2 linked regions of the Lytechinus pictus genome follow. The protein of the gene in region 1 purifies or fractionates together with the protein of each later gene. This does not show direct contact. Links are inferred from orthologs where the notes say so. Each region holds a gene or a part of one and is shown in the gene's direction. Other genes may lie near its edges.

Evidence for each region.
Region 2: the proteins of drebrin-like protein A (region 1) and neuralized-like protein 4 purify together in Homo sapiens (co-immunoprecipitation; 4 studies listed by BioGRID and IntAct, counting the BioPlex papers as one, with this or other methods). This does not show direct contact. The link is inferred for Lytechinus pictus from reciprocal best matches to the Homo sapiens genes DBNL and NEURL4.

What each region holds. Positions count from the first base shown.
Region 1 is NC_087256.1:7,119,299-7,126,399, forward strand, and holds the start of drebrin-like protein A, read left to right. Parts: upstream 1-4,081; 5' UTR 4,082-4,254; coding exon 4,255-4,337; intron 4,338-5,817; exon of another isoform or gene 5,818-6,015; intron 6,016-7,101. UniProt on the Homo sapiens protein: Adapter protein that binds F-actin and DNM1, and thereby plays a role in receptor-mediated endocytosis.
Region 2 is NC_087258.1:4,750,903-4,757,739, reverse strand, and holds the start of neuralized-like protein 4, read left to right. Parts: upstream 1-3,830; 5' UTR 3,831-3,834; coding exon 3,835-4,035; intron 4,036-6,837. UniProt on the Homo sapiens protein: Promotes CCP110 ubiquitination and proteasome-dependent degradation. By counteracting accumulation of CP110, maintains normal centriolar homeostasis and preventing formation of ectopic microtubular organizing centers.

The sequences.
Region 1 (7,101 bases):
ATATGCATCACCAGAGAATTGTAATACAGTCAAAATTTATGTGAAGGCAACACAATTCCCCATTGCTTAATCATTTTGTGTTAGAAGGCCAAGCTCCAATGTATTTATAATATATCAAGAATGAGAGAAGAATACAGGGCCATTCTGATCATTCTGATATCCTTCATTTCATTAAAAAAAAAGGTTTCTTTTATCTACTCTATCTATCTAAATCAGGCCCCTCCCCCCTCAACATTTTTTACGATAAATCTGTAACGCGAAAAGATCACGCCCTAAAGTTTCATGACTTTTTTCCTTCAAGTCTCGTGCAACTTTTTAACTTTCTCGATGCGGGGTTACACCGTTCTGAAGTTACTTAGAATTGTGTAAATGTATGTCAGACCCAATATTAAAAACATGAGTTCATGTACAAATCCAATGCAAATTATGGATGTAGCCAAAATTCATAAATATATCATCATTTTTGTCTCGCCTGCATAGCAGAGCGAGACTGTAGGCGCCGCTTTTCCAACGGCGGCGACGTCGTCAACATTGAAATCTTAACCAAGGTTAAGTTTTTGAAATGTCATCATAACTTAGAAAGTATATGGACCTAGTTCATAAAACTTGGACATAAGGGTAATCAAGTATTACTGAACATCCTGCGGGAGTTTCAGGTCACATGTCCAAGGTCAAAGGTCGTTTAGGGTCAATGAACTTAGACCATGTTGGGGGAATCAATGTAAAAATCTTAACCAAGGTTAAGTTTTTGAAATGTCGTCATAACTTTGAATGTATATGGACCTAGTTCATGAAACTTGGATATAAAGATGATAGTGTATCCCTGAATATCCTGTGCGATTTTCAGGTCATATGACCAAGGTCAAAGGTCATTTAGGGTCAACGAACTTTGATAATGTTGGGGGTATTTGTGGAATTGTCATCATAACTTTAAAATTTGATAGATCTAGTTCATAGAAACTTGGGACATAAGAGTAACCATGTATCCCTGAATATCTTGTGCTTGTTTCAGGTCACATGACCAAAATCAAAGGTCATTTAGGGTCAATGAACTTTGGCCATGTTGGGGGTATTGGTTGAATTGGCATCATCACTTAAAAAGTTTATAGATCTACACAGTTTATGAAACATAGATATAAGGGATATTCAAGTTGTTTTGCACATGTCTGAGGTCATATGATCATGTTCAAAGGTCATGTTGGGTAAATGGACATTGTATTTTATTATCATATGAGTGTTTTCTTTTATGAATAATTATTTGATAGCTGTTTTCAAAGTCAGCACTGCTGGTATATCAAATCGCATAATGCAGGCGAGACTGCCAGAGGCGTTCCACTTGTTATTTGTACTGATTAAAAGTAATTGATTTCATGTTATTTATGACTGAAAAAGTGTTGCCAATAGTTTCCATAAAAACAACAATGAAAACCATAAAGTAAAATAAACAGAGAAATGCATAAGAAATTAAATAAGCAATGAAATACATAAGAAAAAACTTTTTTTTTAAAGTAATCATAAGAAGAGTGTCAAGACCAAAATCTAGCAGTTTCGGGCTATATTTTAAGATTAACAGCCAGTTTATGTTTTAATGCATTAATTAGCATAATTGATTAATTCAATTGACAATTTAATTGTGGAGGTTACATCATAGATGATGTGTGTGACAATTTTTGTCACAATCGCGTGATCAATGGCCGAGATCTGAGGAGGGGGTGTTTTTGCCCCCCCCCCCCCCACTATAAGGGTTAAGTCTTCCAGTAAATAGGTGTTCTTTTTCGAGAAAGGACATGTAATACAGGCTTCACAAAATCTAGAATTTGTACTCTCATTCGAGAGAGCGAAATAGAGTTGTTTATGTTTTATGTATTTTTGAATCCTTCAAAAGGGAAAGTTGTTTGTGTAACAGCGCACATCTTGGTTGCATTATATTGCCTAATGATAATGTGACTTATAAAGCGCCAAATCCTCTCTGTAGAGTGCTCAAGGCGCATAAAGAGCTAAGTGTTAAATAAAAAAGTTTTTTAGAAGATTTTTGAAAGTTTCGACAGAGGTACATTTTTTTATGTCTTCATGAAGGCTATTCCACAAAGTGGGGCATGCAAAAGCAAATGATCTTTCCCCCCAGGTTTTTGAAACTTTTGGAATAACAAGGAAGCCAGAAGTGGATGAGTACAAAGACCTGCTTGGTCTGTAGTAATTGATTAATGAAAGACTATTTTGGTGCTGATCCAAGAATACTATGAAAAGCCTATGGGACAATCTCCATAACATTAGTGTTTTGTACATTCAAATGCTCAATAACTTACATTTCTTGTCCATTTTTTCACAAACCTTCATCAAAATCTTACAGATTTATCTTTTTTTTTACACAACCTAACTTTTTCCAAAATTTTTGTTTTCCATGAATGGTAATATTTTTGTCAATATTCCATATTATTTTTTCTGTTATTTGTGTCAAATACTTAAAGAATCATGACTGTCAAATGTATATTGTATAAAGTGACTTTCTACTCACATTCTTTTGTTAGATGAACCATGTTCCTATGGAAGAAACCACAATGTTATTTTGTAAATATAAGCTGCTGATAAAAATAATGAACAAATCCTGTATTTGTGTTGAGTAAATATTTTGTTGTGGTTGTAAAAAGCCAGAGTCCAGTCTACTCACATTTAGGTACCCGTGGCTGAAATTGACATGCATATATTGGAATAGACCATATTTCTCTTGTTCAATCATGGCACATTCTATATCTATAGGATTGTTTCCAAAAGAGTTAATTGTGTCTCATTATCCTCACTTTTTTTCGGTATATAAAGCATCATCGCATTGGTCAAATCATACCAAGGGTATGCACACTAGTGTGTATTAATCCTATGGTATCAATCAATAAGATTGCGTGTTACATATCATGTGCGTGCATGATTTTAAGTCACATTTAACACTATTTACACCGTAGAGCTAAAAGGCCTTTAATTTTTTCCTGTATCCATGAAATGCTGACTATTTTCAGGGTTAAATTCTTAAAGAAATAGATAAATTCATTCTGTATGCTTATCGTTTGTGAAGATAATCATTGTCAGATTAGGCTGAGACTTTCTCTTTCATTTGCAACTACTTGAAGACACAGAGAGAGAGAGAGAGATCAGCTATGTTAACTTAAACATTTTGACAAAAGCACAGAATGGCCAGCAGAGCAATAGGTCTGTAACATACTTATATAAGATTTGATTTATTACGACCAGAAATCAAAACACATGTTGGCCTATCAATTATTGCCATCCATCGTCTTGCTGGCCATCCTAGCCTATTCATTGATAATTCAAAATGGCTTTGAAAAAAAAGATAACAGAATAAGAAAAACAGCAGAAGCATGCCCTGGGCAATTTGAGAGAGAGAGGTTGGGGGGGGGGGGTTCTCAAAGAATTAGGTAAGAGAGGAAGAGAAAGGAATGGAGAGAGAGAGAGAGAGAACAAGGACATGGAATGCAAAAAAATTGTGGGGTACGTCTCATAATGTTACATCAACAAAACCAAAGGTATTACATTACGGTCTCCCTTGACTCTAGTTTCCCTCAAATTATGCATACATGTACTAATTGAAAAATCCTGTGGGGATGGGGCACTGAGAGAGTGAAACGTTGGAGCAGTAAGCACATGACAAAAAATGTTACTTTATTCTTTTCGCCTATGTTTTGCTAATATAGAAATTGTTAAAATACACAGAACTCTAATTCATGATGCACATCCCCTCCCCTTAGGATTTAGAGGCATATTAAATTCCAATTTCCCCCCCCCCCCCACACACACACACCCCACCCTTCTTGCAATTGTATATTTAACACATTGGCAAGAATAGTGAGCATTTTTTTTGTCCCAGGATATATTCAGTCAAATCAGGAACTTAATTGAAATAATTCTCCCTCATGGCCCCACCCTCCCTCCTTTCCCATTAAGAAATAAACCAAACACGTATCTAGTAGGCCTACATAAAAAAAAGTCCCAAGATAACAAAACTCCCCAAAAAGCAAAACATACCTGTGGACAGAGAAAGGAAACGGTTCGGGGTGGGGGGTAAATGAGCGATGAAGTAGAGAATGGGGGATAGGGAAAAGTGACTGAGGGAGGATGATGAAGAGGTTGAAGTTGATTACTCCCATTCTCCTGCTCGTGTCGACGGCGAGCGCCATCTGCGTGTAAAATATTACAGGATTGAAGGGGGATCGAGCTCGAGGAAGAAGAGAATTTAAATGCAAAATGTCGATAAGTTTTGTAAAACACCGAGATGCTTTGATGCAGGCATACAAAGATGTCTGTGACGACAAAAAACCGACAGACTGGTAAGTATCATTAAATTCAAAGGTAATGAGATATTCGTTTTCCTGTTTGAAAGAGGAACAGGTGTGTGAATTTTCCGATTGCGGAAACGACCGACCAAGACGAGCCAAGCTGGGGCGCTGGCCGTGTCTTTGAGTTAAAACAACGGGGGACTACCCGTGTGAATTAAGCGTCATGACCGGTGGTTGCCAACTTCCGGGTATGCCTGCTCGGCTACTGGTCGAAGTTTGTTGCGAATTATACAATGGCAAATCTCTCATTTTCAAATGTAATACATATGTAGTACTAGTAGCATTATTGTGAAATAAACCACCAGTCCAAACGTTGCTGTAGAGTGTTTATTTCATCAGTTTTCATGATTTTAAACTAGAATAAAGCTGCAGCTAGCCAGCCACTCAACAGTAGAGGCGCACGGCCAATATTGGAGACTGTCTCCAATGTGGGAGATTATCTCCAATATCAGAGACTCTTGTAAAGAATTTGGGTATCCAATTTCAGAGACAGTCTCCAGTTTTGGAGACCAATTTCCTTTGTTTACATTTGCTGCAAAAGGATTACCTTGGCGGCAAATAAAAATGAGATAAACAGATTCCTCATGAAAAATTAGTAATTAGGCCTACCCCTTTTCACCGTCTACTTTTAGTTTAAAAATTCACCGTCTACCTTTGTTTTGATAAGGATTTTTGTTGTCAATCACACACAAAACAAATGGGCTTCTACAATTCTGACCTCAGTGAGACAAAATTTTGGGTGGAAAAAATCATGCTTTTGTTGGTGTTGTTTCTTTTGTCCTTTTGCAAAGCAAGTCTCCAATGTGGGAGATTGTCTCCCCTATTGGAGAGAGTCTCCCATATTGGCCGTGCAACTCTACTGCTCAAACAGTCATCACTGCCGCTCACTGGTTCAGAAAAAAAAGACAGAATCACTTTTTTTTTATCAATTCATAGTCAATCAAAATGAAAGCTCGATGTCCGAGCTGAAATATTTTCCAATATTTTTTCATAATGACTTCAAAACTGGATAGTTTTAGCTCCATTTCACTGCCTATTGAGCAAGATACGTATCTCATCGAACAAAATACAAATTAAGGTGAATAAAACAAACCGTAGTAGAGAAAAAAATTAGATCGAATTTTCGCCCATAGGGCTTCATCAGGAAATGATGAATTTATTAGTCAACACAAGAAACGCAGTGCGCAAAACATCGAACACTGGGTAATGTCATGGCTTGCGAGTGCTAAGAGCGAGCAAATAGGGTATATAGTATTGTAACAAAACTGCCTATTTAGAGTCTGGTAGTAGACTACCTCTGTTATTCTTCTCTCTCTCTCTGTGTCTATCTCTCTCCTACTATCCCCATCTTCCCTATGCACAGTAGTGCAGTCTCTCTGTGTACACTACATGTGTGTATCTTTATGTAAGAGTGCCTTGTGCACTCATGTGTTTAGGGACTCCCCTACACTTACACTTGAAGGAGGGGGTTAGTTAGTTGAAGTTTGGCCCTCGATGGGTGCAGTTGTTGTGTAGCTCTCGTACTGTGAGGAGTGGTTGTAGTTTGGCTCCTGTATTTTTGGTTGTTTCGCCCTAGCTCTGAAGTCAGAAGATAATCGATTGGGAGCAGATATTTGTGTAACCACTGCTCCAGTTTAGTGTAAATAAAGGCCAAGACCAAGACTTGAAGGTAATTTCAAATTGAGTTGATTCTTATTTTATTTCTAATTAAGTTTGTCAGATGACCGAGAGCAGAGATTGTGAAAACGTGAGTAGACTGAGGAATGAGTGCACGTGAGGATGTGTTGAATCGCAATATATTTTTGTGAAAGAACCTGGTGAGCAAAGTTCAAAGGTGATTTCGGATACAGTATAGCCTTGGCCCTTGGGGACATGAAAGATTGTTCTGTTTCCAAGTCATCACTTCACCTTATTTCAGTCACTCGTCTCCCTCTTATTTTCCCTCTTTTTTCTCCTCTCCTTTCCTTTTTCTTTTTTTTTTCTTCCTTTTTTTCTATTTTTCGCACCCCCAATAGAGAGGTGGCACAGCCCCTTCACCCCCCCCCCATGCAGCAGTAGACTCTACAAGCTTTGATTCTTTATAAAAAGATAACAGTGTGAATGAAAGACTCTACAATTAGGAAGACTAGACACTTGATCAACTTAGCGTAATGCTTTACATTGATTTGTGTGTAAAATAGTTTGAGTACCTCATCTTTCCCTTGTATTGTCTTTGATATAAATATAAATTGTGCTCCCTCTATTGGTGAAAATGTTGGTCTGTGATAAATTGCAATGGCTTCACCGCTTCACTCAATGAAAAAAACGAAAAATAATCAAAAAAATTTCACACAAGGATAACGAGGTGGAAAAAGGGGTTCATATTATTTGGTAAAAGAATTAATGTAATGAAATAAATAAGGTAAAATCCTTGATTTTCACACACATGGCTAATGCAATGAACCCACAGGGCCCGGGTGGACTGCTGTTGGTGACACCTCCTATGCATCCAGTAACTTGTAAGAGACGTACGGCTAATAATGTTGGAGACTCCCGGCCAACATGGGAGACAATTTCCAATATTGGAGACTTGCTGTGCAAAAGGATAAAAGAAACAACATTAATGCCAAGGCAGTTATTCCCTACAAAACTTTTGTCTCACTGATATATATATTGAAGATAAATAAACTTGGTGACAGTCTCCCATATCGGCTGTGTGCCTGGCTTTAGTAATGTCATTACAAATTCATGGAAAGACGGCAAGTCTTCGGAAAGA
Region 2 (6,837 bases), on another chromosome or scaffold:
GAAGTCTGTAGAATCATGAACAGATAAGCACACATGGGACTGTGTATGATTACCGGTACTTTTTTGGTAATAGACAATGCTTTGCAAAATTCTCAACAATAACACAATTATTTCCGGAATCCTTTGGCACATATTTTTTTAATTATATTCATATAGCCAAACACTTGGGTTGTCATTTTATTGGATGCCTATGAACTCATTTTGAAACCGTTACCATAACTGGCATTTATCTTTAAGCTTTTCTGTATTTATGTGTACTATTGGTTGCTATGTTAAGGCAGTGTTTCCACAGATCAAAAACAAATTTCCCGAAACTGAATCTCAAATTTCCTGAAATTCATAGACATTTCCTGGAATTTTCAAATTTTATTTTTCAACCAAAATTGGACAATAAGAAAGCGAGCCTGAACTTGGTCCAAGTGACCGAAATCAAGGAATTCAACCTTTTTTGTTGAATGCACTTTTTACAAGTACGGTAGCAACAAAATGCAAGCGCGGAGAGCGAGCAGAAAATTTTGAGCTATGAATGAGGCAAACAATTCTTTGAATTATATAACATGAATATTGAAAGTTGTTACGTTTAATGGAAGTTTAATTTTCTGATTTCCAAGAATTTTTTCATTTCCCGAAAATTACCTGAAAGTGATCCAGAATTCGGGAATTTCCTTCAAAGTGGAAACACTGTGTTTAGGGTTAATTGGGTTTGATTGTCCTGAGAGTGTGTAAATTAATCATGTCAGACATCTTGAAAACTACATATAGCCTTGTTATACATGTCATTTTTAAAGTTTAACTGATTTGTCCTAGATTTCTTTTTGTAGATTTGCCAAAAACCATTAAAAATATATTGAATATGTTAGGAAACCATAGTCTTGTAATGCAAAACATGCAATCAATTTTTTTATGACATGAAATGTAATTCGTTGTAACTTTGTAAGTCTATATTAGACTGAAAGTGTTGCATTTATTCATAACACTAATTTATCTCATCTCAGAGGGTACATGAAAATACAATGAACAAATATCAGAGACTTGACACTTCATTGAAATGAAGTGAGAATTGAACAAAAATTGGGGTCCAGGGAATAATTTTGCTTTACAAATTTGAATAGCATTTTTGGTCAGAAGAGAAAAGCTCTCAACTAAGTAATGTACAGTTCTATGTAAAAATATGCTATACAAAAGACTTTATGCATAGCAGTCTTTCAAAAATGGAGCAAATTGCGATGCGATACCAGGAAATTTATTCCCTGGGGTCAGATTTACAAATGGATTGATTATTTTATGGGATTGGCCTTCAGGAAAATAATAATAATCATAGCAGGAATCCCAACTATCCAGTTGGATTGAACAGGTTTTGGACCAAAGATATTAACCATGTCATATCAGTGCCCTGATTGAAATCAGTACAATTAAAATCTACAATTGATATTAACTTGTAATCAGGGGTGTGAGAGTTCAGATTTTTATCTGATTTCAGATTTTTTTGTTTTGATTTTCAGCTTAATTTCAGCTTATTTTTGGCCTTCCTCTGTACAAAAAGTATGGGAGCTCTTTCTATTTCAGACTTTTTCAACACTCTTCAGCATTTTTCAGATCTTTTTATTTGTGACCACTCACACCCCTGCTTGTAATGTGGTTTACAAAAGACTAAAGTTATAATTAATTGCACAATTGCTTGTATCTTGAATTTTATTGGGCCCTGGAATGTGTGCATAGGATAGAGAAATTAAAGGAGAATGAAACCCTTGAAACCAGCTGAATCCACATCAAAGAGACAAATCAAAGAAACATATTGTTGAAAGTTTGAGGAAGATTGAATGAATAATAAGAAAGTTATGAGCATTTGAATATTGAGATCACTAATGCCATGTAGATCCTCCTATTGGCAATGCGACCAAGATCTGTGATGTCACACACGTACAACTCCCTCATTACTTTAGTACTTATTTCACTTATATTTTCACTTTTATGGAGTCTATCACAAGGTGAGGTGTTCTCTTTATGAGAGGACAAGTACAGAGGTTTCACAACATTATATCATTGATGAATCGTTTGTCATATGATTAGAATGAGTAAAAAGAGATGTTTTGGGGTATATTTTCAGTGTCCAAAAGGGGAGAGTTGTTCATCTGTGACATAATAGATCTTGGTCGCATTGCCAATGGGAGGATCTCCATAGCATTAGTGATCTCGACATTCAAATGCTCATAACTCTTCTATTGCTAGTCCTATTTAACTCAAACTTTTGTTGATCTTATTCTTTGATTTTTCTGCTTTCACAAAAGCTAACTTGCTCCAAGAGTTTCATTCTCCTTTAAGTTAATTTGTTACTCCAGAGTAGCCCACCGTGATTAATGTCAGAAAATACTGGAAATCATGAAAATTAAAATCTAGATAGATTAGTGACTGCTTTTTTGGAATTGGATCAATTTTGATCACCATTAACTTCAATTTTTTCCAATTGTCTATATTTTTTAAACGAGGTTAAGATTTTTTACTAACCAACTTGGAATACTGGTAATGAGATATAAGTAATATTTTCATATGGTCATAAAATGGAGAAAGCACTTGGGGGGGGGGGGGGTATTTGTATACAAATCAAGTACCGGTAATAGAGTTTTCTCGATATTGATAAAGTATGCATATACTAATCATAATGATTAAAATTGAATTTCTATAATCGTTTTTTAATATTCATCCAGTATATTACAAAATTTTATCTGTTTTGTTAATCATATTTTCTGCTTTCATGCAGATATCTTGTTCTAAGGGTTTTATTAGCCTGTTGTGTGCACAGAAGAGAATAAAAAAAAATGTATGGTCGGAGGATTTATATTAATGTTGATGTTCTCATTAAAATGAGCTATATACCTGAATCCCCCTTGTCTTATTTTGTTTTCTTTGAATAAAATTACTTCTACTACTACTTTACTATTGCTACTTGCCTATTGTCTTTACTACTACTGATCACAAAACTCTAGCCTGAAATTAATATGAACTGAATATAATTATAACGGTAAACAAGAGCAATTTGTAGATGTTTTGCAGTGTACTGTATTTTGTAAACTGAAACATGTTTTTTTTTCCAAGCTTTTTCCTCCTCGTTTCTGAAAAGTGTTCAGGTTCTTCCCGATTGTGGTATTTTAACCAAAGACGTCTGGTTAAAATACCACAATCAGGAAGAACCAAAGACGTCTTTGGTTAAAATACCACAATCGGGGGGCATGCAATACCCATGAATATAGTTTTGTTTAAGTAGATAAAACTTGTTTAGGGGTCATTATTTCTGGCGACAACTTGTTTAGGGGCCAAAATGTGTAAATGAAGCTCGCGAAACACTTGTCTAGGGGGTTATTTTGCACACTGAAAAAAACTTGTTTAGGGGGTGTTTGGAAATAATTTGGTCATGCATGTGTACAGCAATACATTTTACTTACATGTAAAATCATTGGAGAGAAAAAAAAGATCACGGGGCTTGTCCGGGAATCGAACCCGGGGCCTCTCGCACCCAAAGCGAGAATCATGCCACTAGACCAACAAGCCTCAGCTGATGAAGGGTGGAGATTTATAAATTATATAGGACATGCTTGGCCATGTTCGTTGTGATATTGGACTAGTCCATTTTTCGATAGGATTCTGAAATTATTCAATCAAAATTGTTCAATGATCAGATAATCATGCTTCAAATTCAAGTATTTCCTCAATTTTTTGAAAACTAAGAAATTCGACAACACGATAAAATTTTCAATGAAAGGTGTTTATGGACTCCCTTATTATTACATTTATTATATTCAAATGGCCGAACCCAGCCCTTACTCATGAATATTCATCATGGATATCGCCGGTGAAAACATGGCGAGCCATCGGAGAATCCATCCATTTCACAACAAATGTGGATCCTTAATTTCATTGAGTGATGACGACAAAACAGCAAGACGAAATGACTCCAGACAAGAATTCAATAACGGGCTAGTATTTAGCAAGAGACCTCTGAAAGACGATGAGATTTATGAAGTCAGAATTGATGAGAAGGTGAGTAACCAATAAAGATCTCGAGATCGCTTGGATCGAGCCTCCATTCGGAACAGTGGCAGTTTCACAGCCGGGCTCCGTACGGTACGCTACGAACTCCGCTCCGGGGACGATGGTGCATTGTCAATGATCCCGATGGCAGGGGCAGGGCCGTGACCAATTGGGCGCTATTGCACTTTCGCATCTGGCAATGTTAACAAATTAATTTCACCTAAAAACTTTTGTTCAAATTTATTCCCAAATTATCTAATCTGCTCGACCCTTAACCGGCGCGCTTTATATCCAGTTGTTGTGTCCGGACCACTCACACTAGTCTAGTCACGTATTGCGAGGTAAATATCATTTGCTATACGAACCTCGCACAACCACCGTGTTTTTGTAGTGGATTTTAGAGTTGTCGTTAACATCGCATCATAACGTGAATGATGTTAGCCGAAACCCACTCCGCTACTCACCAGGGCTTTTTCTGGTATAAAGCGTTCCATTTTCAATTTTTAACATATTTTTTTTATTTAAAAGAACACAAAAAAGAGCACAATCGCTTACCTATGCCTGGAAAGTGGCTTCGCACGTCTCTTCCACGGAAATGAAAAAGAAGGTCGTTGGTGGCGCTAATACAGTTCACAACCTTAATTCAGCTTGGTGGTTTTTTTTAAACTAGATTCATGATTCATTGTATGCGCAATTCCAATAATTGTTTGATAAAATAGAGACCCCAATAAATGCAATAACTTAAAAAACATACTTTTTTATTATTTTTGCTGACGATAATACTTTTTGGAAAATATTCAAAACGATGACAAATTTAACAAAAAATATAGAAAATTCTATGTACCTTGAACAAAGCCCCGCAAGTGCTACCGTTCGTTTGTCAATTAACGTTCCACCAAAGTCTTTACAGTAAAAAGATTGAACACTTTGCCAACTTTGCGTAACGCTTTGCATCGATTTACGTGTAAGATAATTTTTGTGTCTAGTCTTTCCCTTGTAGTGTCTTTGATATGAAGATAAATCGCGCGCCCTCTTTCGCTCATTAGACGAAAAATTTGAGAGCTAGAAAGGTGGCTTTCGTATTTTGTCAACGAGAAGAAAAATCAACGCTTAAATGACGCATTTTGAGGGATATTCATCAAATTATGAGGAATTGACTTCACATCGTTAAGTAACTTTCTACTAGGCCTAGGAGGACTTCATTCTGTAAGTCCTCGTATTCATTTTTCAGAAAATAACGTTATTTGTTGAATGCGCCGTGCCTTCAATTATTCTGTAGTCGGCGGCTGAGATGTAGCCATGGGTGTGTCCGGACAGGTTATGGATGTGTGTCCGGACGATCAATTTTAGAAAGTCATTTGCCATTTGGAAAACTTTACAAGCGAAGTTTCATCAATTTTTAGTATAAAATGTGAGGAAATATATTATGGAGAACAAAATAGAAGATGATTACAACTATTTAATTCACATTTTTACTGTAATCCAAAGACCAAAGACAAAAAAGAAGGCTTCAAAAAAAAGTGTCCGGACAGGCGGACACCCGACCCCCCATCCTACCGTATCATCGTACGCAGTTGGGCACCGCACCGACCGACTTCAAGAAAAATAATGTCCCCAGCATCATTAACCCAGGGAGCTCCGACCCGCTTTGCGGGCCGGAGCCCAGGAGTCGACCGTGCAAAACAAGGGATACATGAGACTGGGGTAGTCTTGAGGACTCCATGTCCATGATGATGTTTTAAAGGCCATTGAAACTCGATGTTGAGTTTCCCGTCCCATATTTTCCAGCTCATAATGAGGAACCGATTTCATTATTTTCCAGAAGATGAAAGTTTGACCTTTTGTAATACCTTTTAACGCACTTTTATTTCTTAATTTGGACATTTTCTGCAATACACTCAATAAATATGTAATATCTCGACATATACACTGTTTATATCTTCATTTGAGTTATGTTTGAAATGGAGTGGATTGTATTGCTGTTTCATAATTGTAGATCTAAGGTAGATCTTGGTAGTGGTAGGGGATACGTCACATATTAATACACAACACAGATTCTTTGCTTGGATGTCCCTTTAATATTCCTTCTCACTGAGAAATAAATTAGATTTTTGGCATTTTGTATTTAAAGTATTGTAAGTATAGTACAATAAATGAAATAGGAAATTTAAATCAGACAAACATGGATCTAAACATGAATAAATCCATGTATATTTTATCAATAGACAATATCGAGATTCTGCCTGCACCGTACACGTATCGTACATGTACGTACATGCGTACTATCGCTGTTGCATGCGTGATTTGTTCAAAACACGTACTGACCATGTAAATCTTCGTGCATACTTGCTGGAGCGCGGCACGGGCACATTGCTGCATGGCCATGGCTGGGTTGATTCTACGAGTTTGACTATGGTTGAGCATGCAGTGTCATTCCATTCACAAGAAAAAAAAAAGATTTACAGGTATTTACAAGATATACAAATAATTGTGTGAGTGAAAAGCTTATATAAATGTTTTATATCAGTTTTGAATCTAGATCTATGTCAAAATAGTAAAATAATGAATTATTTTCAGAATTTGATTTTCAAACGCGAGCCAAATTTAATAACGTGGGCGGGCGACGGGAAACTCAACATCGAGTTTCAGCGGCCTTGCTATTTAGACATATACTTCTTCATCATTGGAGTCTTGAACCCCCGGTCATATATGTACATGTATAAGAGACTGACCAAAACAAAGATGGATTTCCCTAGGAAATCCATCTTTTAATATAAAAATCACGTAAATTGTGTTGATTTTATTTATTTC